Linked DNA regions of Pelodiscus sinensis. The protein of the gene in region 1 purifies or fractionates together with the protein of each later gene. This does not show direct contact. Links are inferred from orthologs where the notes say so. Each region holds a gene or a part of one and is shown in the gene's direction. Other genes may lie near its edges. The genes, in order: LRRK2, tubulin alpha-1A chain, DNAJA1 and RPL23.

The links.
Region 2: the proteins of LRRK2 (region 1) and tubulin alpha-1A chain purify together in Homo sapiens (affinity purification with western blotting; 4 studies listed by BioGRID and IntAct, with this or other methods). This does not show direct contact. The link is inferred for Pelodiscus sinensis from reciprocal best matches to the Homo sapiens genes LRRK2 and TUBA1A.
Region 3: the proteins of LRRK2 (region 1) and DNAJA1 purify together in Homo sapiens (co-immunoprecipitation; 4 studies listed by BioGRID and IntAct, with this or other methods). This does not show direct contact. The link is inferred for Pelodiscus sinensis from reciprocal best matches to the Homo sapiens genes LRRK2 and DNAJA1.
Region 4: the proteins of LRRK2 (region 1) and RPL23 purify together in Homo sapiens (affinity purification with mass spectrometry; 3 studies listed by BioGRID and IntAct, with this or other methods). This does not show direct contact. The link is inferred for Pelodiscus sinensis from reciprocal best matches to the Homo sapiens genes LRRK2 and RPL23.

What each region holds. Positions count from the first base shown.
Region 1 is NC_134711.1:27,626,855-27,633,714, reverse strand, and holds the start of LRRK2 (leucine-rich repeat serine/threonine-protein kinase 2), read left to right. Parts: upstream 1-3,859; 5' UTR 3,860-4,126; coding exon 4,127-4,325; intron 4,326-4,410; coding exon 4,411-4,496; intron 4,497-6,860. UniProt on the Homo sapiens protein: Serine/threonine-protein kinase which phosphorylates a broad range of proteins involved in multiple processes such as neuronal plasticity, innate immunity, autophagy, and vesicle trafficking.
Region 2 is NC_134729.1:4,833,773-4,841,018, forward strand, and holds the start of tubulin alpha-1A chain, read left to right. Parts: upstream 1-4,234; 5' UTR 4,235-4,389; coding exon 4,390-4,392; intron 4,393-6,326; coding exon 6,327-6,549; intron 6,550-6,668; coding exon 6,669-6,817; intron 6,818-7,246. UniProt on the Homo sapiens protein: Tubulin is the major constituent of microtubules, a cylinder consisting of laterally associated linear protofilaments composed of alpha- and beta-tubulin heterodimers.
Region 3 is NC_134716.1:17,275-24,666, forward strand, and holds the start of DNAJA1 (dnaJ homolog subfamily A member 1), read left to right. Parts: upstream 1-4,373; 5' UTR 4,374-4,526; intron 4,527-5,031; 5' UTR 5,032-5,040; coding exon 5,041-5,172; intron 5,173-5,254; coding exon 5,255-5,432; intron 5,433-5,923; coding exon 5,924-6,028; intron 6,029-7,392. Other genes in the region: APTX (aprataxin), read right to left, coding at 403-539, 2,269-2,390.
Region 4 is NC_134739.1:12,361,663-12,369,471, forward strand, and holds the start of RPL23 (large ribosomal subunit protein uL14), read left to right. Parts: upstream 1-4,807; 5' UTR 4,808-4,926; coding exon 4,927-4,939; intron 4,940-6,560; coding exon 6,561-6,644; intron 6,645-7,558; exon of another isoform or gene 7,559-7,691; intron 7,692-7,748; coding exon 7,749-7,809.

The sequences.
Region 1 (6,860 bases):
TTTGGGTCAGGGGCCACTGACCCACAGAAAAATCAGTTGGGGTCCACACACAAGCGAGAAGCATAAAAACCCACCAAAATCATCACTGATGTGGCCCCAACTAAGGAGGAGAAAGACACTCCCCACATTCCCCTTGCACACCATAGCTAGGGGGGCCTCGGCTAGTAGAGTTTGTGTGCTCCGGTCCCACAGGGGGACAGTAGGGGCTGGAGTGCCAGCACAGGCTCCCCAATGCTGAGGAGGGGCCTTGAGCTTCAAAGGTCAGATCCAGACAAGGCAGGGCCACATCCAGCCCCCGGGCCTTAGGCTCCCCACCCTTGAGCTAAGGTATAAATTGACCTGTGTCTGGTCCTTTAGAATCAGGAGAACCTGTTCAGAGCTGGTGAGATCTGTTTCCATAACTGCTCACATGTGTAAGGTATCATAGTGGTTGTGACGCAGATAATGCTGGCATGTCTAAAGGGATTGTTTGTGTAACTTTTCTTGCTGTCCAGATTGACAGCTAAAGTGTAGTTATAGAGGAAGGTGTAAATAGCCTGATTCTAAGCAATTTGCCCTGATTTGACCCTTTCAGCAGTGCACCCAGACCACCTGTTACATTACATTATGAAGATATGAAGATCCAAATGACCAATTATAATGAATCATTAACTTTCAACTCAAAAATTCAGTATGCAATTTAGTAATTATATCATTGATTGAGAGGACACTTTTTTCCCCCAAAAAGAGTTAAAATTTATTTATGGCAGCCACACACATGAAAATTAACACCCCATTACAAATATCATTACACCGTAATCACTCTTCAAAAAGGAAGGCATAGCATCCACAACAGAATTCAAATTAGGATTAACCAGTTATGTAAACAGGATTAGTAAAAATGTGCAATTTATGCTAGTTAAGATAAGCATTTGAGGAGATATAAAAACCCATAGTTGGTATTAGAGAGTCTTCCCAAAGGTGTAATTACTGACTATATAATTTACAGCATATTTTAAACTTTCCTCTGAAGTTTCTGGTGCCAACAACTGTCTGAAGGTCAAGACTGCAATGCATCTATCACCATTCCTTGAAAAGAGTGTTTGAACTATTAATTCTGCAGTAAGAAAACTGTATTAGATTTGCTGATATGGATCTATTTCTTATCAATCAACTTTGTCATTAGGAAAGTTAGCAGAAGTGAGAAACCATTTAACTAATTTCTAAATCTGAATCACTGTTTCATCAGACTGACACGTTGTCTTTTTAGGGCTTTGCCTTTCAAGGGAAACAAGCTAAAACTTCATGTCACAAATGCAGTCATGGTTTTGTGGTTGATAATTATTAAACCAAGATAAGAGTTTCTTGGTATAACACTTAAAAATATGGCTTGATTCAGATAGCACTGCCCTATGTTTTGAGTATCAAGTTGATACTAATAGTTCAAGGATAGTTTAGTCAACAAGCATTTGCAGTAACCAACGATTTGTAGGTGTTTCAGAATGCTTGTGTATAAAAAATGAAACATTTTAAAAAGAAGCATTAAGTTGGTGTTTTCTTCATGTGTTTTTATATTAAGCACTGTGCATGCTTTTCAGTAACCAGGGCATCAGGGTATAGGTAAGCATGAGAGCTTCAATAACTCCACAATCCTAGTTGCTCCTTCAAAAACGGTAAGGCAATCATCATGTTTAACAGAGAAAAACTTAATTACTCTTAAGCTGTATCTACACTGGCATGATCTTGTGCAAAAGCAGCAGCTCTTGCACAAAAACATGCTACTGTATATACTGGCCACGTGTTCTTGCGCAAGTAAACTGACGTTTTAATGTATGAAATCAGGGCTTCTTGTGCCAGAACTCTGACGCTCCCGCTCAGGAATAAGCCCTTTTGCGCAACTGTTCTTGTGCAAGAGGCCAGTGTAGACAGGCAACATGAATTTCTTGTGCAAGAAAGCCCTATGGTTAAAATGGCCATCAGAGCTTTCTTGTGCAAGAGAGCGTCTACCCTGGCATGGATGCTCTTGCGCAAAAGCACATCTCTTGTGCAAAAGCACATGCCAGCGTAGATGCTCTCTTCCGGAAGAGTTTTTGCAGAAGAACTCTTCCGCAAAAGAGTTCTTCCGCAAGCTGCCAGTGTAGACGTAGCCTAAAAGTATTCAATTTCTCTTCCTTTAGTCAGAAGAATTTTGTATTGGTTACAATTTAGTTACTAAAAATGTGATTTGTAGTATCAGGCTTGAAGCACTTAAAAAGGTGAAAAACAAAACTGGTGACAGTACAGGTTTGTTTTTGCAAAAGCAGCAAAGAGAAAGTGGCTGCTTTTGCACAAAATCTTGCCAGTCTAGATGCAGCCTAAAAGATTAAGAGTAAAAATTAGCAATACTTTCATTAACATACTGTTGCAAGCCCCATTTGTAGATGATTATTTTTCATGTGGCACCTTTTACAACTATTCTGGAGATGTGACAGACACATTGATGAATTTAAAGACAGATACACTAACAAGTTGGTTAGTACACTGAAACTCCTGTATTTTCTAGTTGTGTATTTATTACAAAAGAACAATCACAAGAACTTGAAGTTTATAAATTTTAAATCACATTATCACTGTTTCCCTTCCTGAATCCACTAATGGTGTGGCTAAATTAATTTCAAATAATTGTATATAATAGAAGCATGTGTGGCATGAAAATGAGAGACAGCTATCCCACTTCAAAATAATTTCAAACGTGGTGAGATCAGGGGTGGCCCATGAGCCTAGTCAGACTAGGCAGTTGCCTAGAGCGCCGCTGGCCCAGGCGCCCGATGATGATGTCATGGGGCGCCCTGTGATTACATCACAGACATTGACCGCTATGCAGGCAGGGGCACCAATTGCGCCTTCTGCCTGGGGCGCTAGCTGCTACAGCTGGCCTCGGGCCACTCCTGGGTGAGATGAGGGACTCTAGATCTTATTTTATTTTATACTTCAGAAATTTGCAGTAAATTCAATGCTTCTTAAGCCTCTGTCATATAAATAATAGATGATAGCTAGAGTTCATTAGCAGAGTTGCTCCTTTACTCAAAAGGAGGCGCTTTTTTTTGAAAGTCCCCTCATTCTGGAGATGGACTTAGCTAATTGCTTAATAGGCTTGCCAAATGGTTTCAACAAAAATATTGGACACACTTGACGTGACATCACAAGCTACATTACATCTTATTTAGAAACGACCATATTTATATTTTCTCAATTTGTTTCCCAAACAGGACTGTTCAGTTCAAAACCAGACACCTGGCAACCCTATGATTTGGAGCCTCTTGCCTGCAAAGGACAGCTGACTGTACTGGTACTGAGACAAGTACTGAGAAGTTCAAAGGCCTAGCCTAGGAGGTGCATGTTCTAACTTCATAGTAGCAGCAGCCAAGAGGAAGGATGGGGTGTCCGCAACAGCTATGCTCTGACCAGTAATCACAGCACCCAACCCAGGCTCTGAGGCAGCCTAACATGCCTGGGACCCTCCCATCTGGGGGACAGCTGGAAAATCAACTGTAGCCCTTCCTGAGACACATGGCGAGCCTGGAGCACAGCACCTTCTTGCTCAGCCAGGCCCCTTCTGGGGCCCACCCCAGCCACCCGCAGTGACTCCCCTGTTCGTACCCCATGAGACCCTTTTGCCCCATTCGTAAGGGCCCCAAAAGGGGCCACCACAGCTAGCTAGCTATGCCTTGGCCAGCCACCCTCGCGACCAACAAGAACGCGTCAGAAGCGCTACGTGGCTCGCCGCCCCCTTATGAGACCGAGAGAGGCAGGAAGGGGCGGGCCTCTCCAGAGCTCCCATGCGATTGGAGGGCGGGGCTGTCAGTGGCTGTAACTGATTGGTTGATGCTACCCTAACGCCCCCTCCCCACCGAATCCTGCTGGGATTGCAACGCGAGACTGTGTAGCGGGAGCGCCCTCTACGGGCAACCGGGCGGCGCTGCGGCCCCTTCCCCTCGAGCTGGGCCGGGCCTGCGGACACTCGCCGCAGATGTTGTCAGCGCTGAGGTGAAGGGGCGGGGATGCGGCTTAAAAATAGTCCGATGACTCCGGCGGCGGGGCTGAGCCGCGGCCCGCGGGATCGACATGGCGGCGGCAGCCGGGGAGCGCTCCCAGCACACTCGCTGAGATGAGGCGGGGCTCGGACATGGCCAGTGGAAGCCGCTGCCGGGAGGAGCAGCAGGAGCCGGAGGAGGAGGAGGAGGAGAGGGAGGAAGCCGCCCTGGGGAAACTGGTCGTTCGCCTGACGAACGTGCAGGAGGGGACGCAGCTGCAGAGCGTGCTGCAGACGCTGGAGGACTTGCTGGCCTTGGCCCACCGGCCCCGCGGTGAGGTTCCTGCCCGGGCGGGCGGGCCCCGCTACGGCTCCCCGGCTCGGCCCCGCGAGTAACCGGCTCTTTCCTCTCTCCTCAGCCCCCAAGCTCTTCGCTGGCCGGAACCTCCACGTGCCCTTGTTGCTGGTGTTGGACTCCCACTTGCGCGTGGCCGCGGTGCAGCAGGTAAACCCCTCACCCCTAGCTGGCAGACCCAGAGCCTGACACCGCCCCTTGGCGAGCCAGCCCCGAGCTCCCCGCAACTTGGCGGGCAGTTTGGATTCAGAGCCCAACTTGGCGGCTGGCGCTGGTTTTTAATGAGCCACATGGAAACTTCCTCGAGGTTTGGGACTGTCCAGCTCGGTCAAGTCTCCGCTCCTGGCCAGCTAGTAACAACAGACACGGGCGTCTTGTGCCAGACAGGCAGGTGTGAAGACCGCTAGACAGTGGTGCACAGGAATAGTCTCCTTGAAAATGCTGTTGCTGACCATATTGTCACCGCGGAGATGACATAGGGTGACAGTATTACTGTGAGATGAGAAATACAAAACTATAGCTCCAGGGCCCAAAAGTCAGCAGTTCTGTATAGTTACCATCAGGTGTTCCAGTAAATAACCATGTTAAAGAGAGATGTGCATTAAAAATAAATAAAATAGTAAATGGGGTATTATTAATCTGTGGAATTCAGTTATTTGTGTTGTGATTTCTTCTGTATCAAAGTACATGTTGGAAAACAGATTATAATAGTTACTACTGTTACATTATACGTTAAAAGTTTTTCTGTTAAAAGTATTTCTACAAAAGCCTGTCTAGTAAGGATGCTTTTGCGCAAAAAGTGCTTGCCAGTCTAGACGCACTGCTAATGTTCCTAATATAGTATACCACAGTCCTGGACCACGGCTCTAGAATATTAATGATTTTTAAAAAAAATGCTGTATGTAGTATTTACATTGTAAAGGATGGCTAAAGTTTTTTGTCAGCTGTTTGCTAAAAAGAATAATTTTGTCTCTTTTCCTAAGCTCTAAATCAAAATAAAGCAAAGTATGTTCATAAATTACATACGAACTATATTGCACAGATCACATATGATGTCATGCACTACAAACATTGTGATAATCCAATATTGTTTCTAAATGGAGCAGGATGTGTTAAGGAAGTAACATCTGTCTTTTATACCCACTGTCATGCTCAGGACAACTTCAGAAACAAAGCAGGGAAAGTTCTGTAGTTTATTCTGTTTGGTTACCTCTGTTATTTAAGGCTGACTCATTTTATATTAAATATTGCAGGTGCTTTCCAATGTCATTTTCACATTTGTTTTCAGACAGAGATCCTTCCTAGCAGTCAATCATGTAAAATAAAATGCATGTTATCCCCAAAAGATGTTTAAAGACATCTAGGAGGCTATGCCCTGCTCACTACACTCACCAACCCTCCTCTCTCCAGAGAGCCTGATGACATAATTCTGTCACATGCAGCAGAAAAAACTTTTGTGTATATATATATATGGAGAAATATGATCTCTGTAAGACTGGTTTGTATTTTCTAAAAATAAATGTATGATTTACATTTTTTTCACCTTTTAAAAGTTCAGTTTGTTCGGCTGCAAAATGTAATTCCCCCCATATCTATTTTAAATAATGGGAATGGTCTACATTAACAGATACACAAATTCAGAGTAAGCAGTAAATTGTATTCTTGATTTTTACCTGTCATGTATAGTTGTTACATTAATAATAACAATGAAAGTAATTTTTTGCACTATTATTATATCTTTTATTAGAGGATAACCAGGTAATGTGAGGAATCTGAAACTTTAATTCATAATTCACTATTCAATTATCACATAGGTAAAAAATTTGTATAGCCATTGCTTTTAAATTGGGTTGAACCTATCAGTTGTTTAGCAATAGCAGAATGGCACAGAAGTCAAGAATAGTAAGTAAAAGTACTTCAAACTGCAACTGTATGGGAAATTTTTAAAACCTGATAAAGAAGAAAGTGGTAACTATACCTGAACTGCAATTTGGCTAGGATGCAAGGGTAATATCTTTTAGTGTACTCTTAAAAATGGTTTTAAAATGAAGTTTCAGCCTCTTATCTGAATTTCTTAGCCTTCGAGAGTTTACTTTAGACTTTTTATAGCTCTTTAATATTGTTTTAACCAAGGACTTAGCCAGATGCAACTCAAAAACTTAATGTCACGAAGTGCTGCAACCATCCTTTCCTCTATTCCCTAATGCTATAACAAATTTAAAAATATTCTACACTAACTATACTCTATCTTCCCTGCTTCATCCATTGTGATTCACTTGTGGGAGTCTTGAATCTGAGTTTGTGGCAAGGACTGTAGATGCTGTGTGTAGATCCCCTGTTAGTGTAGGCATGCTGTAAAGGTGTAACCAAAACAACTGTTTTTCATTGCACAGGTTAATAGAGCAGTAGCTCTTTCTAATTTGTAGCACAAAAGTGAAATTGACCAATGTTTTGAAATAAGTTGAAGTAAGGGCGGTGTCTGGATTGATTAATATATTTCCTTCTGGCTGAGCT
Region 2 (7,246 bases), on another chromosome or scaffold:
AGCCAGGGGGGGACAATTGCTTTCTCATGGGGCCCCCCTCCCTGTTTCCCCAGCTGTCTCTCTGTCTTCCAGGCTTTTTCTATCCTCATCTCTCCCCAGCCTCTCTCCTCCCTCTCCCCTTCCCAGGCCAGCTTCTCCTGGGGCTCAGTCATATGACTTGCAAGGTGATAAAGGAAGACCAAATGCCACCAGGGATTCCTGTTCTGTCTCCTAGCAACTGAACAACTCGTTGCCTAGCAGCGGGTGAGCAGGGCTCTGTCTTACAAACCTAATTAGAGAGCAAGCACCTCTGAGGCGCCTGTGTCCTTGAGATGGAGCCATTGATTTTATTCCACAGCGCCCAGGGGATAGTTCATTGATCCCTCTGCTGCATTGGCAGAGCCATTGCCTCTTGCTTTAATAACAACCCTCTGCCCTGCCCTAAGACCTTCCACCCAGGATCTAAAGACTCTTCACAGACTTTCGTGAATTGCCTCACAGCTCCCCTGGAAGAGGAATGAGCGGTACAACCCTCGGCTACGTCTAGACTGGCATGATTTTCCGCAAATGCTTTTAACAGAAAAGTTTTCCGTTAAAAGCATTTGCGGAAAGAGCATCTAGATTGGCATGTACACTTTTGCGCAAAAGCATCCGTGGCCAATCTAGACGCTTTTTTGCGCAAAACAAATCTGAGCTGTCTACACTGGCCCTTTTGCGCAAAAGCTTTGCGCAAAAGGACTTTTGCCCAAACGGGAGCTGGCAAGTTTTTCCACAAAATCAGCTGCTTTTGCAGAAAAACTTGCCAGTCTAGACACAGCCCACATGTTACAGGTGGGGAAACTGAGGCACACGGTGATTTGGTGACTCACACAAGGTCACAGAGCAGGGCAAAGGACAGAACCCAGGAGTCCCAGTTTTTTCTTCCTCCTAGAGCCTGGAAAGGAACCAAGGAGTCCTGATTGCCCAGATCTCTGCTCTAGCTCTCTCCTGAAGGCTGGCGTTATCAGCAGCAACACAGCGCCCCCTAAGCTGCCATGGGAATGAAGCCATGCCAGCTCCTTGCATGAGGCTGGCACAGGGATTGATCTTGTGGGGAAGGCCCTGAATGTGTGGAAAGAAGAACAGTGTCCTCTCCCATCAATATAGTGGGAGGTGTCCCCATGCACCCAAAGAGATGCTTCATGCTCCACACACCCCTCAGGAGACACACAGCACAGCTGGAAAAAGCAGCAGGGCACAGCCTGGCATGCCTGAGACGGGGTGGACAGCAAGGCTTTCTATAAAAGGATCTAAGAGCCGGCTGTCTGCAACCTGCCCAGCCAGCATGGAGCCAGGATCAACACCCTTGTTAACCCCCGCCTGACCCTCCCCGGCTTCTATATCCAGTCGCTGTGCTCTACCCTGCCCTCATCTTAAGCAGGGCTAAGCAGTGTTGTGCTGCGCAAGCTCCTGTGAAACCAGATGGGCTGGGGTGGGGGAAAGAGGGGAGGAGGAGCTGCTGCTGTGAAGGCCAAGTCTGCTTCCTTGTGCATTTCAAGGCTAGCATTCACTTAGGCAAGTTCTGCCTCTGTGCTGGGCCTGAGGATGGTCAGGGACCACAGTACTGTGCCCATATCAAACTCCTTCCACTCCAGGCTCTTAAAGCATTTTGCAAACATTAAGGAATTAAACCTCACCAGCTTTCTATTATCCACCATTGTGCAGAAAGAGAAACTGAGGTACAGTAGGGCTCATGAACTTGCCCTGGAGATCCTAAGTCTCTTGATTCTTAGTTTTGTGCCTTAACCACTGAACAATACTCCCTCCCTAAATACATCCACTGGGCACCTCTCTGGCTCACAAAGGTAGGTTACAGTAGGTGTAGCTGTCCCAGTGCAAAATCCTAGAGGAAGCTGCTATTTTCACGGATGGAACCAGGGCAAATTCTTGAAAGGTGTGAATTGGGACCAGCTGAGAGTCTGGTCCCTGGTGTAGGTAAGGCCATAGATTAGAGTGAAAAGAAGGAAGTCAGGGAGGAAAAAAAGGCCAGCAGCATTTCCTGTGCACCAGCCCATAAACATGTAACTGATTTTGGTGAGTGTTCAAATGGATGATTGAGTTTCAGCTCGGGATCTTCCGGTCACTAATGCACTGCAAAGCCCATTTACAAACTAGAGTAAAATGACCCTGAGAACTTGACAGGTCTCCACAGGAAATTGAATTTCCTGAGCTCTCCTCCTCCCCCTCTCCCTCTCCCTGGAAGAGGTATATATATCCAGTAAGCAGCATGTTGTACTCTAAGCTGCTGTACATGTAAAGGTAAATGTAGCATTTTGCTGTGTCCTGGAGTATAACTAGATGGCTCTCTATGTAGTGCACAGGCCAGAGTCCAGGGCAGGATCACAGGCTGTTGTTTCTATTTGTTTCGCTACAATGTGGTTAGAAATTTACAGGTCTCTGTGGGTAGACAGGAACTTGACGAAAAAAACTCAGGTCTGAACATGGCCAAATTGCAATGCTAGCTATCCACCTCTTCTTTGAGCAGCATCCTCCACTGGTGTAAATCAGTGAGGTACCACTGAAGTTCATTTTCACCAGCTGAGGATTTGACCATCTGTTCTTCAGAATGCCCCAGAAGTTCCTTTGTTCAGCTGTGCCTATGGAATCCTGGAGTCTCTTTGTACCTCATCAGTTCCCTGGGGAATGTAGGTCCTTTGTCCTTTTATGATTCAGGAGCAACTCCAGATACAGTCTGTATGTGCTGTCATGCCACAGGGGGCCAATATTCACAGGGATGTTAGTGCAAAAAAATAGCCAGGGGGCTGGGGCTACTTTTCCTGCCTGTTAGAGAGAAATGTGTCAAACTAGTAGAAGCATGGGAGCAGGAACCCAGAGCAGGCTGCAGAATATGGGAAATGTGTAGAAAATCGTGATTTCTTGTGAGGGGGATTGAAAATGTTGCTCACCAGTCTGCAACAAAGCAGCCAGTCTCACAGCTCCACCTGCAGCAGCTGCTGCCTGTCCCCTCCCCACCCCCTCGCCTCAGTTGCCAGCTCTGCAGAAATGGAGCTAGAAAGGCACCTCCGGCCCTGGAAAAGAGGATCTGAGCTCGCCCTGTGGAAAAGGGGGAAATTGGGGATGAGAGACACCTCCCTGTGCTAGCCTCCCCTTTGCAATCGGGTGTAGTGGAACAATTTGTACAGTGTGTGTGGGGCGGGAGGGGAGGAGGCTGGGAGCCATTGAACAGAACTGCAAACCTTGTATATGATGGACATTATTTGGAGCCCAGCAGCTGTGCTGGCCAAGCTCTGGCAGCACACTCCTGCATGCCCTGAAGGTGAGGTCGGGGCTCTAACTCTCAGCTCACGGTTGCTGTAAGTTGGACCAGCCATGACACTCACTACACACCAGCCTAGGGACAGACACTTCCCATCACAACCCTGTGGGGTGGGAACAGCCAGCTCCATGGGGTGGGCCGTGGGCGGTTCTCTGAAGATGGGGATGCATGACTGGAAGGGTGATCTGGTACTTGCAACCCTATGCCCCCACCCGACCCTCCCCTGTATAATTCTCCCATGGCCAAGATGCCAAGTGCTCCCTACAAGCACAGCTGCCAGACCAGCTGTAGCCCAGGTCAGGAACCTCCCCAGACCTAGAGGCTGCTAAGAACCCTTGAACCAAAGTGCAAACCCTGGAACTGATAGGAAGCACTGACTCAAGTCGGTGGGGTGGCAGCCCCCCCAGTCCCAGCCAGGCTCTTCCCTGCTGCTGGGGGGCGAGGTGAGTGCGGGATCCCGTGGGTATTTCGGGGGACGACGACACAGGGAGCAGGGGCTGGAAGTCACTTGCATGGGAGCACCCCACCTGGCAGAGAGCAGGACTGACCCTAGACTATCTCCTCGGGGGTGGGAGATCCCTGACAGCCCAATTCCATGTGGTACCAGTCAGGAGCCCCGAACCTGCCTCACCCGACCCTAAACTTAGCCCTCGGGGAGGAGGGGGCTGGATGACCATGTACTTGATCCCCACACGCTCTTGGCTCATCGGGGGCCCCAACTAAAGGCTCTTCCCTTCCGGTGTCGCCCCAGCTTTCCCCACACAATGCGGCGCGAACCTGGAGGCGGGGGAGGGGGTTCACGCACGCTCCGGATCGGGGCTGACTGCAGCATCTAGCTGCTGCAAAGCCGCCCGCCCCGCCCGCTCTTTGTCTGCAAGCTGGGGGGCGGGGCCATGACCTCATCCTGAGCGCTCCGCACCAATCGCCGGGCGGAAACGGTCGAGGCGGACCAATGGCTGGCAGCCCAGGCCCGTCGCCATGGTGACCGAAGGGTATAAAGGAGGCGGGCCGGCGCGCACACCCTAAGTTCTCTTACAGCGATCCCCTAAGAGTCGCGCGGTAAGAAAGCGGCCAGCGCCCCGCCCGCAGCCAGCATGGTAAGGGGCGCGTGCGGGGCTGCACGCCACGGGGGGCGCGGTAGAGCAGAGAGGAAATGGGGCGCTAAGGGAGTGCGGGGGGGGGCGCGGCTGTCCCCCCCGCTGGCTGCAGGGCTCCCGGGGGGGCGCGGCTGTCCCCCCCGCTGGCTGCAGGGCTCCCGGGGGGCGCGGCTGTCCCCCCGCTGGCTGCAGGGCTCCCGGGGGGCGCGGCTGTCCCCCCGCTGGCTGCAGGGCTCCCGGGGGGCGCGGCTGTCCCCCCGCTGGCTGCAGGGCAGGGCAAATGCAGGCGCTTTTCAAAAGCTCCCAATCTCCCCGCCTCGCTGGCCGGATCGCAGCCGGCGGCTCTGCTCCGCCTTCCCCCGTTCCCCCTTTGGGCGGAGGCACCAGCTGGACTGCGGGAGGGGGACGTGCCAAACCGCCGGGTCCCGGCTGCAAAATCCTTCCCAGCAGAGCAGCCGTGGCTGCCCGGGCTAGCGGGGGATGGAGGGCCACGCCCTGGCGTCCCAGAGGAGGGCGGGCTGCCCGGCCCCCTGCCCACAGAGCAGCTGAGCCAGGGGCTGGTTTCCCACCGAGGTCCCATTTCAGCATCGGGCTGGGCTGCACTGACCACGCCTCTGCTCCCCACTCAACCCCCCCCACTAGCTAGCGCAGGGGAGGGGGCCCTGACCCAGCAGACAAAGGGGGAGGGGGCCTCAGGCGCTTGGGTCCACACTGATGGTTCTGGGGCGCAGGAGGCAGCTGCCTGGATGGGGCTTGGGAGGGAAACGTGCCGTGTAGGCGACCCGCATATCCCTAGTCCTTGTATCGCTGGGCTCGGTGCACGAGGGCTGCATTTTAGCGCCTCGGCAGCATCCCCAGGGCGATGGTCGAGTTCGCAACTCCCCGCTCTCTGCGCACTAAAGGCGGAGCGTCGGGGCTGGGGAATGGCAGCCAGCCCCTTCCCGCAGATGCTGGCTTGCTTGGCATGTGAGTTAGCTTGGACTTTTGTTCTGGCTGATCCATTGATTGTCTCCGCTCCTAGGCGGGTCTGTTCCCAGATGAGGTCAGCGGAGGGGAATTGGCAAACCAGTCTAATGAGATCATGCTGGAAATAGACCAGCCAGTGCTAAGCCAGGGCTGTCCGCACAGACTCCGGCAGGCATGGGGCAGAGGATAGTTAATGGTCTCTCAGTTGCACCAAATGAGCCTGTTCCCAGGCTGGGTGTGGTAGCTCCATTCATTATTCCCTAGGCTAGCCTTCCTGGCTGGGGAAGAGCCATTGGCATGTGGGAGGGAGGGCCAGGTACTGGGGGCACAGAAAGCAAATCAGTAGTTTGGAGGGTGAACTTACCAACTGCTGAGCACCTGCTGGGAAAGGATTCAGCATCCACAATGGGGCCAATTTCTCCATGAGGCACCAGAGTTGTGGGGGGTGGAAGTCTGGCTTGCCTTGTTTTGTAGACTGGGATTCTTATTCATGAGAAGTCCCATCCCAATCCTCTATCCAAATCAGTTTTGCCAGTTCTCTGGGAGAAGAATCAGGCCCTACAGATAAAAAAAGGGCGTGGCAGGTGGGCACATTTCAAGAAGTGTGATGCTGCAAAAGGGTTTCCAGTTACCTCCTACCTGTCTGGGTTAACAAGTATTTTCTTCTCTCTGTACTCTTCCTTTGCCCCCCTATTTTGAGAGCATATGGTGGTTAGACCATGTGGTGTTAAACAAAGAGTTAGCATCTGTGTGACTGTGCTGCTGACTCTTCAGAGCATGCCCCTCTCTAAAGCTTAACCCCTGATACTGCTGCTACAGTTATAAGCACTGAAGAGCCAAAAAAGGCAAACATGGGAGTGTCAAAGGGATCTTCTAGAGATACCTCCATTGCTACTTATTAACATGCAATTGCAGACCAGGCCAATGTGTTCACATCTCTTCCCTGCCTCCCATTCTCTTCTCCACAGCGTGAGTGCATCTCTATCCACGTCGGCCAGGCTGGTGTCCAGATCGGCAATGCCTGCTGGGAGCTCTACTGCCTGGAACATGGGATCCAGCCTGATGGCCAGATGCCCAGTGACAAGACCATCGGTGGAGGAGATGACTCCTTCAACACCTTCTTCAGCGAGACAGGCGCCGGCAAGCACGTGCCCAGGGCTGTCTTTGTGGACTTGGAACCAACCGTGATAGGTGAGTATGCAAAGCCATCATCTAACTGCTTTCTGGACTCCCCTTGTAAGCCCATGTGCAGACAGCTACTGTGCATGGACAGTGGGGAGAGACCGACTCTCTGCCTTTCCTCTCCCCAGATGAAGTGCGCACTGGAACCTACCGCCAACTCTTCCACCCTGAGCAGCTCATTACTGGCAAGGAAGATGCTGCCAACAACTATGCCCGTGGGCACTACACCATTGGCAAGGAGATAATCGACCTGGTTCTCGACAGAATCCGCAAGCTGGTAGATACCATCTCCTTTTAGCATAATCTGGGCAGGTTGTGAATAGAAAGCTGATTGAAGAATGTAAATTCACTGCTGATGGATTTTCCCCCATTTCCAATTCCAGATAATCATATTGTTAATGTTTTTATTGCCACCATATTTGTAGGTGGTCCCAAGGTGAAGTTAAAACTCCTTTGGAATAGAGTAGTTACTCAGAGCAATCTTGGGATAAGAATACCAGACAGTGAATACAGACAAGAAATGTTTTAAGAGATAAATTATTACATTGCTTCCAATTGCACTGGATTTACACTGATGAAACTCCTCTAAGAATGATGGAGTGGGCCCAGATTAATAGAACAGAATTTGGATTCTAAGAGGGGGAAAATGTCTAGGATGGGAAGAAAGTAAGAACTCTTCTCTCTTCCCCCCCCCCCCCCCCCCCCA
Region 3 (7,392 bases), on another chromosome or scaffold:
TTTGTTTTTGAGTACTGTTATGTAACAACAACAACAAAAATCTCCATTTGTAAATTGCCCTTTCATGCTATAGAGATTACAAGAACTGCGGTACATCAATGTGCATTGAAAAATACTATTTTTATAGTGCAAATATTTGTAAACCAAAGTAATATAAAGTGAGCATTTTACACTATTTTTGCTGTGACTGAAGTCAATATATTTGAAAACACAGAAAAACGTCAAAACTATTTAATAAATTTCTATTGGCGTTCTATTGTTTAGCAGTGGGATTAAAACTGCATTTTATCATGATTTTTGAGTTAGTCACAAGTCAATTGCCATTAATTGTCAGCCCTAGTTTTTTAACTACTTAGCTGTTTTCAAACTAGCAGTTGTGTGTACACTGAAGCTATTACTTACCCTGTTGCCTTGAACATTTCTTGTCTGTTATTTCGGTCTCTGGGCCACGCCCTATTACTGTTGTTTCTAAGTGTGGCAATTTGATTCGCTGACAGCATTTATCTTTCCTCACTAGCCAGCACACCCGCATGATTGCACTGTGAAATAAATAAGAGGACATAGACAGGATTACAATCAGATAGGGATCAAGATCCCGTGGCTGACTACAGGATTGGGCATCAGAAGTTCTTGTTTCTATTGCCAGTCCACTAATTGGCTGCATGACGTTGGCTAATTTGCTTAACGTTGCTGTGACTTATTATCCTTCTCTACAAAATGGTACTAATAAGAGATATTTCAAGGCCTTATTTAATTATCTATGTAGTGGTTTGATAGCATCTCCCACAGAAAGATGCTGAAATGCAAAATATTTACTATTATACACACCAAGTTTACATTATTCAGTACATATTTGTTTATCATGTTGAGCGATACCCATATTTCTCCAATCAGCTGATACAACATTAGGCTGCCTATATATATTGTTTTTATAGACACATCACATTCATTTTTAGATTTGCCACTGTGGCCACTTCTGTAAGTTCCAATAGCAAGTTTTATTCAGTAGGATTTTACTACACTATATATCACTTGTCCACCATAACCCCTACCTCCTTTTCAGAAAAATTGCCTTCTAGGATATAGTACACCATTCTACAGGGATAGCCTATATTTTTTGTTCCTAGATGTATACCGTCACATTTGGCTGCATTAAATGTTTTGTTTTAATGGACACAGCTTATCCAATGGTCCAGATGTTTCTGTATGAAAAACCTAGCCTTAGCATCATTTACTACTTTGCCAATATTGGTGTCATCTTCATATGTTACTAGCAGTGATTTTACATTTATTGGCAGAACAATGACAAAAGTATGCAATGGGATTGGTCCTAGTACTGATTCCTATAGAACACCATTTATTTCAGCAGTAAAAACACAGCTATATGGTGCACTGGGCTATTGTGTATGTTACTTAGGGATATTAAAATGCATTTATTTGTGTAAATGTGTATCCGCTGAAATTTTCAGCAGAATTTTTTTCAAGTTTGGGAGGAAGAGGGAGGTGGTGCTCGTGGGGAGCTGGCTTTTCAGCTCACTCATTGCAAGTGCCAGCTCCTGTTCCCTCCCTCCTGCTGCCTCTGTTATAGGGATGGGGGGGAAGAGAGAGAGGGGAGCCGCTTGACAGGAACCAATATGCGAAGGGAGCTGGCGTCAAAGCTGGTTCTCTGCATGCATCGGCTCCCATCTGCTCAGGAGCCAAGATGTGTGGAGATCTGGATTCCCATACATACCGGCTCCAGCCTGCTCCCCTACCCCCACACTGCTGCCTCTGCCACTGCAGAGCAGGCATGCGCACAGAGCTGTCTTAAAAGCTGGATCTCCCCACATACCAGCTCCTGCTTGCTCTGTGGGAGGCAGCAGCACGGGCAGGAGCAGGGAGCTCAGCAGCAGCTGATATGCCCCAATAGGCACCATTTCCCACCTCTCCCACTTTTTGCTGCCTCTGATACAGAGATAGCAAGGGGAGGGGGAAGTATGTAGTTGTTAAGATTAACCGATAAGCCCAGGCCTATCGGTTATTCATGTAGATGACTACCCACTAACATCCGTAATGTTAATTTTGTTCTCTGCCACACAACACGAGACAGCAGCAGCATGGCTGCTTCCAAGTTATACTTTTAGTTTTACCAGTAAAACCTTCCAGGGGGACATTTACACCTTTACTGGCTTAATTTATGACATTAAGCTAAACTGACAAAACCCATCCTTATGCTAGAATGAGTCTGTGCAATCTAGGGATGTGACAGGTGGCCAGTTAACCAGTTACCTGGTAAGCATCACCCTTGCTGCATGATGCATACTGATGAACCAGTACCAGGGAGCAGCCGCCTTCTCACAGCTGGCACCGCTGTACAGAGAGAAGGAGGGAGGAAGAGCCAGCCGCTCCATTTGGGAAGGCGCAGTAAAAGCAGAAGTCAGTTCCCCTGTGCTTAGGACTACTAGTGGATCCAAGTTAATGAGTTAACTGGTAAAACCTAAGGTTTAACTGATTAACCGTGAGTTTACATCCCTAGTGTCAACAGGAGAAGTTATAAAAGGATAACTATGCCAGTTTAAATTCACACCATAACTTAAACTGTTATAGCTTACCAATGTAAGAAACATTTTTTAAAGCAGACTTAGTGATTCAGTGAAATTGGTGCAAACTTTTGCCTGGGCACTTCCAATGTGTTCTGACTGAAACGTGTTCCTTTTCAGTTTAACCTAGACTATATAACTTATAACTATGCCAAAGAAAGTGACAGAGTTGACCCATACAATGAAGGCCTTAATTAGAATGGTAATAGAAATGTAGCCGTGTTAGTCTGGGGTAGCTGAAGCAAAATGCAGGACTATGTAGCACTTGAAAGACTAACAAGATGGTTCAATAGGTGATGAGCTTTTGTGGGCCAGACCCACTTCCTCAGATCAAATAGTGGAAGAAAATAGTCACAACCATATATACCAAAGGATACAATTAATGCAAGTTTCTTCACCCCTCGCCCCGACACTGCCTGCCCGCCCCCTCCTCTCCCTCACCTGCCCCCCTCACCCCCGCCCCCTCCCTCGCCTGCTCCCCTCACCCCCGGCACTGCCCGCCCCCTACTCTCCCTCGCCTGCCCCCCTCACCCCCGGCACTGCCCCGCCCTCACCTGCTCCTCTCACCCCCGCCCCTCCTCTCCCTCGCCTGGCCCCCTCATCCCCACCCCCTTCTCTCCCTCACCTGCACCCCTCGCTCTGGCACTGCCCCCCTCTCCCTCACCTGCCCCCCCTCCCTCAACTGCCCCCCTCACCCGCGGCACTGCCCCCCCTCTCCTTCACCTGCCCCCCCTCCCTCGCCTGCCCCCCTCACCTGCCCCCCTCCCTCCCTCGCCTGCCCCCCTCACCCCCGGCACTGCCCCCCCTCACCTGCCCCCCTCCCTCCCTCGCCTGCCCCCCTCACCTGCCCCCCTCCCTCCCTCGCCTGCCCCCCTCACCCCCGGCACTGCCCCCCCTCACCTGCCCCCCTCCCTCCCTCGCCTGCCCCCCTCACCTGCCCCCCTCCCTCCCTCGCCTGCCCCCCTCACCCCCGGCACTGCCCCCCCTCCCTCCCTCCCTCGCCTGCCCCCCTCACCCCCGGCACTGCCCCCCCTCGCCTGCTCCCCTCCCTCCCTCCCTCGCCTGCCCCCCTCACCCCCGGCACTGCCCCCCCTCGCCTGCCCCCCTCCCTCCCTCCCTCCCTCGCCTGCCCCCCTCACCCCCGGCACTGCCCCCCCTCGCCTGCCCCCCTCCCTCCCTCCCTCGCCTGCCCCCCTCACCCCCGGCACTGCCCCCCCTCCCTCCCTCACCTGCCCCCCTCACCCCCGGCACTGCCCCCCCTCCCTCCCTCGCCTGCCCCCCTCACCCCCGGCACTGCCCCCCCTCCCTCGCCTGCCCCCCTCACCCCCGGCACTGCCCCCCCCTCGGCGCCCCGCGGGCAGGGCCAGTCACCGTCTCGCTGCCAGCGTCACACGCCTGCGTCCGCCCCACCAATCAGATCCGGGCCACGGCGCATCCCAGAAGTTGTGCGCAGGCGCTTTCGGAAGCCCCGTCCCTCGCTGGAGGGCGGGCAGAGCCAGCAGCAGCGGGCGGGGGGGAGGGGGTCACGTGATACGCCCTCGCCTTGCCGCGCGCGCTGCCTGCGGGCTGGGAGTGTTCACAGGAAACAGGCCCTGGCGCGCGCTCCGCCGCGTGCCACTCACAACCCCGCCCGACACCGGCTGCTGGGGCGCGTCCCGCTGTGTCCCGCCCCTACACCCAGCGCTCCACTGCACGCGCACAGCTTGGGGCTCGCACGGCATGCTGGGGGTTGTAGTCCCGGGAGCCAAGCCAAAGATTGGCTCTCCTCCGCCTGGCCCGTCCCCATCCTTGATTCGGCCGGGAAACCGAGGGGGCGGGACTTCCGGGGTGGAGCTTCTGCGGCTACAAAAGTCCCCGGAAGGAGCGACCGGCTCATAGAGAACTTTCCAGAAGGGTCTCGAGCGGCCGAAGCAGCTGAGAAGCCCGGAGCTCGCCAAGCCCTGCCCGGTGAGTGGGGCCGGCCCCCGCTGCCGCCTTTTCTCCCCCCCCCCCCCCGCGCCGGCCGCTGCCCCTCCCCCCCCGGTCTCGCTGCCCCCCGCCGGCCGCTACCCCCCCTCTCCCCCGGTCTCGCTGCCTCTGCCCCTCTCCCGCCCCCCCCCCGCGCTGCCGCTGCCCCCCTCCGCTCCCCCCCGGTCTCGGTGCCCCCTCCCCCCGCGCCGGTCGCTGCCCCCTCCCCCCCGTCTCGCTGCCTCTGCCCCTCTCCCGCCCCCCTCCCCCCGCGCCGGTCGCTGCTCCCCTGCCCCCCCCCCAGTCTCGCTGCCCCTCTCCCGCCCCCCCCCCCGCGCCGGCCGCTGCCCCTCCCCCCCCCCCGTCTCGCTGCCTCTGCCCCTCTCCCGCCCCCCTCCCCCCCGGTCTCGCTGCCTCGCCCCCCCCCCCCCGCCGGCCGCTGCCCCCGTTCCCCCAGCCCGGGCCCGAGGGGCGGCCGGTGTTGGCTGACGGCGGGCTCCCGCAGGCCGGCGCCATGGTGAAGGAGACGACGTACTACGACGTGCTGGGGGTGAAGCCGGGCGCCACGCAGGAGGAGCTGAAGAAGGCCTATCGCAAGCTGGCGCTCAAGTACCACCCCGACAAGAACCCCAACGAGGGCGAGAAGGCAAGTGGGGCCGGGCTCGCCGGGCACTGGCCCGGGGCTACCTCGTCCCCACGCCCAGCACTTACTCTGGTGTTTCTTGCAGTTCAAGCAGATCTCGCAAGCATACGAAGTGCTTTCTGATCCAAAGAAGAGAGACTTGTATGACAAAGGTGGTGAGCAGGCTATTAAAGAGGGTGGTACTGGCAGCAGTTTTGGGTCACCCATGGATATTTTTGATATGTTCTTTGGAGGAGGTGGAAGAATGCAGAGAGAGCGCAGAGGTAATTTCACTTTCTCTGGTACTGCCTAAGGGACTCTTTGCTGCTGAAGTATTTTCTTGTTAGTCACACATCCTGTAGTACCTAGTATAAGGCTATAGATACTTATGTGTTTAAGCTGCACCTTTTTACAAATAAGGCTTTTCATGCTATGTAGCAGTGTCTAAAATGATCATTACAATGATAAAACAATATCTAAAAAGGCACTGTTCTAAAACCAATGTTTTAAATGCTAGCATAGAGGAGATTAAGTTTTTAAATAAAAAGCTGTTTTAGTTAATATTCTATAACCAGGCATAGGGTTAAGGTTTGATTTTTGTGCCCTCTTTGCAGATGGTAATGAGCCGGGCTCTCAAATATTGGAAAAAAGTTTGCAGTATCTTTAAGCAAAGACCTTAGTACTAAGCTTTGCTTAATTAGTCACTGAAAAGGATTGACATATTGTAATTCTAAGTTAATTACTATTTTAAAATAAGACCATATTCTCTTTACAGGTAAAAATGTTGTTCATCAGTTGTCAGTATCTTTGGAAGACTTGTACAATGGTGCAACAAGAAAACTGGCTCTGCAAAAGAATGTGATCTGTGATAAATGTGAAGGTATGTTAATCAGTCTCTGTGGGATAGGCATGTTACAATCTAACTTTAATAAAAAGTAGTCCTTACTATAGTAATTCCTCACTTAATGTGTGTCCGCTTAACACATTTTTGCGATAGCACAATTTTGGGAACATTTTTGAAGTACATGACCGTTCCCAGAATAACACTATTTCCCCAGCCGGCCTGTTGCCAGTGGCTGCGCAGGGCTTCCCCATCTTCCTGCAAAGCGGAGGAGGGTTCACTGCTCGCTGCGCCATTCCCGCTGACTACCCCTCGCTGGACGCCTTGCGCCCCCCCCCCTCCCCCCCCGCGCTGCTTGCAGGCTGGCAGTTAGGGGTTTCCCCAGCTGGCCTATCACTGGTGGCTGCGCAGGGCTTCCCCCGCCTCCTTGCAAAGTGGCAGAGGGTTCGCAGCTTACTGTGCCATTCCCCGGCACCCCCCTCCCCCCCGCACTGCAGTGCACGTCCCAGCAGACCCAGCACAGGGGCATACTTCCAACCCAGTCCCCTTCTCCTCTCCTCTTCCCCAGAGCCAAACACCTCCCCCTCCCTGCTGTAACCCAGTCCCCTTTCTCCCCAACCTTATATCCCGGACCCAACAGACACCACTGCTTGAACCGCAACCCCCACCTTTTCCATTATTTTCAATGGGAAAATTGACCCCACATAACACATTTTCACTTAACACCATCATTTTTTGAAACATATCTATAGTGTTAAATGAGGAATCACTGTATAGATATATATGCTAGTCTATCATGCGCTTTCGTGAACAAAACCCACTTCAGCCCATGACTGCTCATTTTAGAGATACATCAGGGCCTGATGAAATGTATCGTAGAATACTCAAAGAGCTGATAGAGGCGGTATCTGACCCTCTAGCTATCACCTTTGGAAAAACATGGGAGACAGGAGAGATTCCAGAAAAGGGAGTGACTTGAGCGTAGGGATTTCCCTGTGCGGATTGGCCCCGGGGTTTGGCCTGGGGAGGCACCCGTGGGGGTTTGGCCCCGCTGCAAGAGAGGCGGCTTGGCCCCGGGGAAGGCGCCCACAGGGTTTGGCCGCACCGTGGGAGAGGGGGTTTGGCCCCAGGGCAGGCACGCGTGGGGTTTCCCTGTGCCGCAGGGGGTGCGGGAGTCAGGCCTGGAGGAGGAATGTGCTGGCTTCCCTCTGCGGGGGGGGGGGGGGGGGGGGGGGAATCCTGGGAGGAGGCAGATGGAGGGGACTCTGCTGCCACTGGCACCCTGTCTCCTGTCTGTGCTCCCCAGACCCTACTCCCCTGTCCCCAGCTACAAAACTCTGTCCCCATTCCCATCCCCAGCTACAGAATTCTGTCCCCACTGGCACCCTGTCCCCAGCTGCAGA
Region 4 (7,809 bases), on another chromosome or scaffold:
TCTTTCACGTTTTGGCTAACATGCTTTGAGAGTCACAAAATCAATAGGACTGAAATATAATTTTAAGGGGGAAATGTACACATACAAGGTAGTCCCTTATGACAACCACACAAGGATTCTTTAGAAGCTCGTGTGTGACCCTCCTTGACTTTTTGTGTGTGCGTGTGTGAGCATGTGTTGCGTGTGTGTAGCAGCGGTGGGTGCATGGAAAAAATTTCCAACCAGGAATTGTGATATTCTGGGCCTAATCCAGTGGTCTCCAACCTTTTTAAGCACGAGATCACTTTTTTTGAATTTAAGTGCAATCCAAGATCTCTGTCACACCCATATACCTTTGCCCCGCCTCCTTCGTGCCCCTTCTGTGAGCCCCGCCCCCTGCTCACTCCATCCTCCCTCACTTTCACTAGTCTGAGGCAGGGGCGGCCCGTCCATATAGGCGAACTAGGCGGTCACTTAGGGCGCCAAGTTAAATGGGGCGCCAAATGGTGGCGCAATATCGTTGAGGGGTTTGGAGGTGGAGGCGCCGATTGCATGGTTTGCCTAGGGCACTGATTGCATGGTTCCCCTAGGGCGCCAGTTGCTGGCAGCCAGTCTAGGGCCGCTCCTGGTCTGAGGCAGAGGGCTGGTCTTGGATTAAGGGATCTGGAATGTGAGAGGGGCTCAGAGGTAAGCCTGGGGCAGCCAACTGAGGTTCGGGGGGGGGGTCTAGGTACAGGCTCTGGGACAGTGTTTGGATGCAGGGATGCTCAGGGCTAGGGTAGGGGCTTGGGGTGCAGGAGGGAGGTAACTGGGGTAGGAGTGTGGGATGTGGGCTCCAGCGGCGCACAGCTTACTTCAGGTGGCTCCTGGTTGATGGTGCAGTGGGGCTAAGCCAGGCTCACCTCTGCCCTGGCCCACTCCCTAAAGCAGTCAGCAACCTCCATCCCAAGTCCTGTTGGGCCTCCTTTCTACTCTGTGGAGATGGGCTACAAAGTGTGGGGGGGGCACCTTGACATCAGCGCCCTCCTCTCCCTCTCCTGCCCTGCAGAGAAAGCAGAAGGCTCTTCAAGGGGAGGGGCAGCTCCCAGGCAAAGCACAGCCCTGTGGGGAGGGGCAGCTGACGTGCCAGCACTTGGTAGCCTCTTGGCCAGACCAATCAGGATCACCTGTGAGAGGCTCCCAGATCGACCCCTAGATCCCGATCGACTGGTTGGTGACCGCTGGCCTAACCATTGGTATGGGCTAAATCTGCTGCATCTAGCAAGTCGCAGCCAAAAACTCAAAATTTAAAAAAAAACGAATGACTGTTGTGAATCCTGGCTAATTGGCAGAGCCCCTTCTGGTTAAACTTGTGAAATGTGTTGAATAACAGCCCCTCTCCGTGCACATGGGACACTGCTTAACCGCTTGTCTCTCTTCTGGGCCTGTCCTTACGGACAAATAAGGATGTTTCTACTGTGGGATAATGCACCTGCCTATTTGGTGGCTTGCTGTAAACAAAACCAAAGAGGAGGCAAGAGGGGTTTGGGTTTACTCCAAGGTAAACTAGGCAGAGCTGAAAAACCTGGGGCACAGCTAGGAAACCATTGAAAGACTTGCCAGAGACAGGCGGGCATGGGGGAGCTTTCTCGTTGCCCTAACGTTGTACTAATCAAATGAGGCGAGAACCCCCTCCCCCACTGCCCGAGAGAGGATAATTGCTGACGTTGCCTAGCTACCTCATGGTAATTGCAACAAGTAGCTTTTCTCTGCTTAGGAGTCTCATGTTTTTTAATCACACCGTGAAAACCAACCCATCCTTTTCAGCGGCAAAGACAGAGTCTGTGTAACCCACACACTAGCTATGTCTAGACTGCAGGTTTCTTTCGGAAGAAGCTTTTCTGGAAGAGATCTTCCGAAAAAACTTCTGAAAGAGAGCATCCAAACTGCAAAAGTGCATCGAAAAAGTGATCTGTTTTTACGACAGATAGAGTCCACACTGAGTAGACGCTGTCTCGCATGTAAGCTGTGATTACTATGGGCGGAATGGCCACCAGGGCACCTGTGCTTTTTCCTCTTTCCTCTTCTTTCGAAAGAACTCCCTCTTCCCCGTCCACACACACCTTTTTTTGAAAGAGCTCTTTCGCTAAAAAGGTTTCTTCTTCATAGAGGTTTACCAACTCCAGAAAAACTCCTCTGTTCTTTCAATTTACTTTCAAAAGAACATGATTGCAGTGTGGACGTTTCTCAGGTTTTGTCAGAAAAATAGCTGTTTTTCCAACAAAACTCTGTAATGTAGACCTAGTGTGGTTCACTGTACCATGCAGTGGCACTTAGAGTGAGAGATAAGAACAAGGGAATGCTACAGCCTAAGTCAGTGTTTCTTAAACTGTGTTCTGCGGCACACCGGTGTGCAGCGAGGCAGTCGGAGGTGTGCCACGGAGAACAACAGAGTTCAAAATGGCCACCCTTAAAGGGGCAGGTGACTTTTTTTTTTTTTTTTTTTTGTTCCTCATAAAAAAATTATTGTTTGATGTTCCTCGGTCTTAAAAAGTTTAAGAAACGCTGGCCTAAGCTGAAAGCCAGCTGGCTTTATCTCTGTAGTGACTGCTACACTAAGCTTCAGAGGTCCCAGTTTCAAATCTACCCGGTGCTGGATACATCTGCAGGGCAATATGGGCCTTGCTCCATTTAGGATTTCACAATGTGACTGCCAGCCAAGGGGAGGCAGGAATCAGATCCCCCGATGATCCTCTCATGGCAATGCTCCCCCCCTGCTCCAAGTGGCTCTTTCATCCCTAAAAGTGCCCCACCCATGACATATGGTCATATACACAGATTTTATCATGCTCCCCTGGTGGACACTCATCAGGCTGCTGGGCCGTACACTGCTCTCCCTTTGGCTTCTCCAGCTCCTTGGGTAAAGACTCCCTGTCTCAGTTCTCCTCCCCAGAAGTGACACACTATAATCCAGGCACTCTCTACCTCCAGCCTGCCTGTTCCCAGAGCCCGCATCCCCCAAAACTGCTCTGGTTTACAGTTTAAAGCTCTGGGGACAAGGGACTGTTACAACCAGGAATTCAGAGGCTTTGCAAAGCAACTACTTCAACACCTGCACACGTTATTAATAAAGACACTTAAAACCCTTCCAGTATCGCGTGGAGTGTTGTGTCCAGTTCTGGGCACCACATTTCGGAACAGACGTGGAGAAATTGGGGAGGGTCTAGAGAAGAGCAACAAAAATGATGGAAGGTCCAGAAAGCATGACCTGTGAAGGAAGACTGAAAGAATTGGCCTACATGAGGGACATTTTGCAGTGTTATGCTTGGGCCTGCCCTGCATTGGGTTAGAGAATATGGAGGTATGGAGAAAGTGAATTAGGAAAAGTTATTTACTTATTCCCATAGCATAAGAACTAGGGGACACCCATCAAAATTAATAGGCAATAGATTTAAAACAAACAAAAGGAAGTTTTTCTTCATGCAGCGCATGAAAAGTGCTATAGACGTGAAATGAATTATTACTTGAACCCAGAGCAAAGTCACATCTCTGTGCTTATGACATTGCTGCCTGCTAGTGTGGCCACTCATGCACTCCCACAATACTGGACATTCCAGTAATTTCCAGCACCGGTGTGGACCTGTCCCCATTGGTATGACCACACTGGCTGTCTTAGATCTGTGTGAGAGGTCACACATTCCACATTGTTAGCTCACTCAATGGGATCCTGAATGGGAAAATGTGACTGGAGGAGGCAGGGCAGGGAGGAGAAAACAAATCTATTTGATAACTGTCAATATTGCAAAGTGAATTCTGAACCCCCCCTCCCAAAAAAGCTTCTTTACAATCCATCATCATAAATGTAATGTGATATTTAGGGTCAGATTTCATCCAGATCCTGCACTATGGAACTCTGCATTGTGGAAAAATCTGTTTGTCTGAGCTGTTGACATGTTGCTCTGCAGGCAATAGATGTAAGCTTGATGGTATCTAGTTGTCCGTCCTGATGCTCCCACAGGTGTTATATTTTCCCTGTGATTATTTGCCATTTTTGGCCACATACTCTATTTTCCCGCAGTGGTTTTAATTTAAGTCTGCTCCGGTTAATTTCCAGCTCACATCCTGCAAGAGGAGAACCACAGTCGTAAGATGTGACTGTCTGCACTTGACCAGGCCAGCAACACAGATTGCTGAAACAAGTAGCCCAGCGTGGGATGAGTAGGCAGAGCCTGGTACAGATACGAAATGTGTATCCACAGTTGATCTGTAATCCACACACACGGTCAGTGGATATAAAGCTGATTTGCAGAGTTAGACCAATAGGGTTAGTGCCAACCTCTGAACTATTTGGCATTGGATTAAGTGGTGCTTGGATGGGAATAAAACAGAGGTCCTGCCCATCACAAAGCAATTTATACCAGAGCAAGCTGCCCTTGCCAAAATTCAATGCTATGAGCAATGTTCTCTATTCTAATGTTTTTCCATCCATGCGAGGAATAAATTTTGTTATGTGCACCAAGGCAGGTGCATATGTGCACCACCAAAAGAAACACATGCTGCCTTCTGTGGGCACTCTGCTAACCAGCTAGGCGGCACCTGCATCTCTCCTGGGAGGCCGCCCAAGAGCACAAATGACAGGGAACACAGGCTGGAAGGGGTCTGCCCTTGCAAATGTCCCATGAGCTTTGCTAAGCGATTGCGCTCAGACGCTTTACAGAAAGCAGCTGCAGTTCCCCATTTGCCCCCGTAGGTGGCAGTGTGGTGCACTGGGACGACCAACGGCTGCAGAGACCAGCCAGCCGTTCTTTATCACGTGATGAGGGAATAGCGCGTAACCCGTCACGTGCTGAGGCAGGTCGCCGCCTCCGCGCGCCTTGGTGTGACGTAGCAGGCTGTCGCCCTGCGCGGACTAATATCCCGGCATCCCGTGCGGCTCCCTTTCTCTTTTTTTTTTTCCTCGGCCCCAAGATGTCCAAGCGAGGTGAGGCCTAGCGAGAGCGGTTCCCGCTCGGGGAGGGGGGCGGGGAGTATCCGTCCCCATCCTCGGGTCACGGGGGCCGCGCGGCTCCCGGACCCGGGGGGATGGAACAGGGGGAGCCCGGGCTCCCTTCAGGACCGGGTCTGGCGGAGGGAAACAGTGGGGGCTAGGCCCGCTGGGGACGGGGACTGGCGGGTCCCGGGGAGAGGGGGTGGTTTGAGGCTGTGCAGAAGGGGGGCGTCTTAGGTATTGGGGGTTGGTGGACAGGGAGGGGGCATTGGAGTGTCCGTAGACGGGTTGGGGGGACTTTCAGGGTGAGGCTTAGCTTAGAAGGGGGGGTGCTAAGCCCCACGTGGATGAGAAATTAGGGTCGAAATAAACTGCCCCAGAGTGCAACCCCAGTTTTTTTTGGGGGGGGGGGAGGGGACTCTTAAGGATCGTCTCATGGGTGGAAACTGCTCCTTGTGCCTCTGTATGCAAGAGGAGCAACAAGCCCTGTAAGCGAGAAGGAAAAAGCAGAGAGATGCGCCGCTTTCCTTGGGCTGAGCCATGTGTATGATGCCTGTATGCAACAGGGAGAGGCGGATTAAAATGCCGTGGTCTGAACGGAGTGTTTTAAATGGCATTTTTTTAAATATGGCCGGTTTAGATGGGGATTGAGACTGCTTGGATAATTGTGCTACTGCAGGTTTAAATTAAAACTTTTATAACCAAATGAAAGGTCAGTCTCTGCACTCTTTAATAATACCCTGCTGGAAGGGGATTTTATTTGACTAAATCACTCCGCAATTCAAAACAACTGTGAGGGTCCTGATGGTGCAAATGTTTGAACAGGTGTGTAGCTTTATTTGCATGCATAATAAGCATTTGCAGCCTCAGAGGCTACGATTGTAGTTTCATTAAACATTTCTCTTTCTGTAAAATCTTTGCCATTATTATTGGTAGTGGTGGATAATTACTTGGAATTTCAGTATGTAAATAAAGCTTTTGTGAGTTTTTCTTAATACACCCAAGTGAAAATTAATAGCCCCAAATTAGGTGCAACTTTAAGTGCTTGTAGTTGGGATTTTCAGAAGCACCTAATAGATTTAGTAGCTTCAGTTCCTGCTGGAGGAGTGTAAAGTGGTCGAATATTCAGCGTACTTGGCTTGTTGGAGTCCCATGTATCAGAACGTGGTTTAAGTTACAAACATGGAACTGGTTATTTGCTTAGCAATTTTGTGTTTGGGTTTGTGTTCTCATAGTAAAGGTGTTAATATGAGGCTAGTAGTGATGAACAGTTTTAAGGGTAAAACTTAGTGGGGAAAATAACCCTGTAATTTCCACATACATTTCATCAACAGTTAGGAAAGTAAAGAGAAAAACCAGAAAACACACACTTTATATTATAATGGAGAAAAAGTAAAGAACTGGTAGCATGTAAGTAAAAACGTGATTCGCTTTTTAAAAAGAACTTTAGATAAAATCATGGTATAAATAAACCAGGGAAATAATTCATATTATCCCTGGCATAGGAAAAAAATCACAAATTTCAATTTGAAAACCTGTTAAATTCCATTCCGGATGGTCTTACTGGCTTGTGAATCAATGTTTAAAGAATATGTCTTTTCTTTTTAACCTACAGGACGTGGTGGTTCGTCCGGCGCGAAATTCCGTATTTCCCTGGGTCTTCCTGTGGGAGCTGTGATCAACTGTGCGGATAATACAGGTGAGTCTGTGGCTCCTTTCTGGAGTCAGTATCACTTCTGCTTCAGCATCCCTTCTGCCTTGTCTGTGTATCTGGTTAGCGTTTGTATAGGTAACTGACAAATAGAAATCAGGGCTTAGAAGTTGAAGCTAGACAAATTCGCACTAGAAATAGAGAGAGGTTTTAACTGTGATGATAATAAAACAACTAGGTGGACTCTCAATCATTTGGAGTCTTTAAATAAGACTGTCTATCTCTGAGAGAGATGCTTTAAATCGGTAATGGGGAACCTGCAGGCCACATTCAGCCTGCAGTTTGTCTTGATCCGATCCGCAAAGCTTGGGGCTCCCCCCGCCCCTTTCCTCCCTGGAAGTGGACCAGGTAGGTGTCCCAACCCCCTACTGCTTCACCCACACCTCAAACTTCTATGCCCTACCTCCTATCCAGACCCAACATCCCCAGCCAGCTCCCTAGCATTCCCTCCCATGCACTGAACCTCTTGTTTTTGTCCTCACCCAAAATCAGCGCAGGGGTGGGGGGGGTGTTCAAAATCTGTTCAGCCTGGTCCCCCTAAGCTTGAGGATAATGAGGTGAATGTCTTCTTTCCTCTCCTTTCCCTCTCACTCTCACTCTCAGTTGGGGGCTACATTGGGGAGGGATGTGTGTTGCTCCTTGCTTGTGTGGCTCCCAACTAATTTTTCTATGGCTCAGTGACCTCAACCCAAAAGGTTCCCCACTCCTACTTTAAGACAAAGAGAAATTATGGGCTTGACACAAGTTACTGGACTACCCTAGGAATCAGACTAGCTGATCAAGATGATTTATCCTGGCCTTAATGTCTGTGTATCGATTAACCTGCTTCTGTAGAATTTCAACTTCTTGCTCAATGGTGCTAAAAAATTGCATCCTACCTCTGAGGCAGCAGTAGCAGCTTCCCCCTTCTGAAAAGCACTTGCTGGGTCTGTGCTCAGTGACTCAGGGAGTTGTCGTGGAAGGGCATAAGAAAGGCATCGCTTTTGGGTGAGGTAGCAGCATGTGCTGTTCACTTCAATGAGTGATGGGACAGTGAACCGTTTGAGGACATCTGTGGTGAGTTGGCTAATTCAGGATGTTTTTCTCCTGTAGGAGCCAAGAACCTGTACATCATCTCCGTGAAGGGGATTAAGGGCCGCCTGAACCGGCTGCC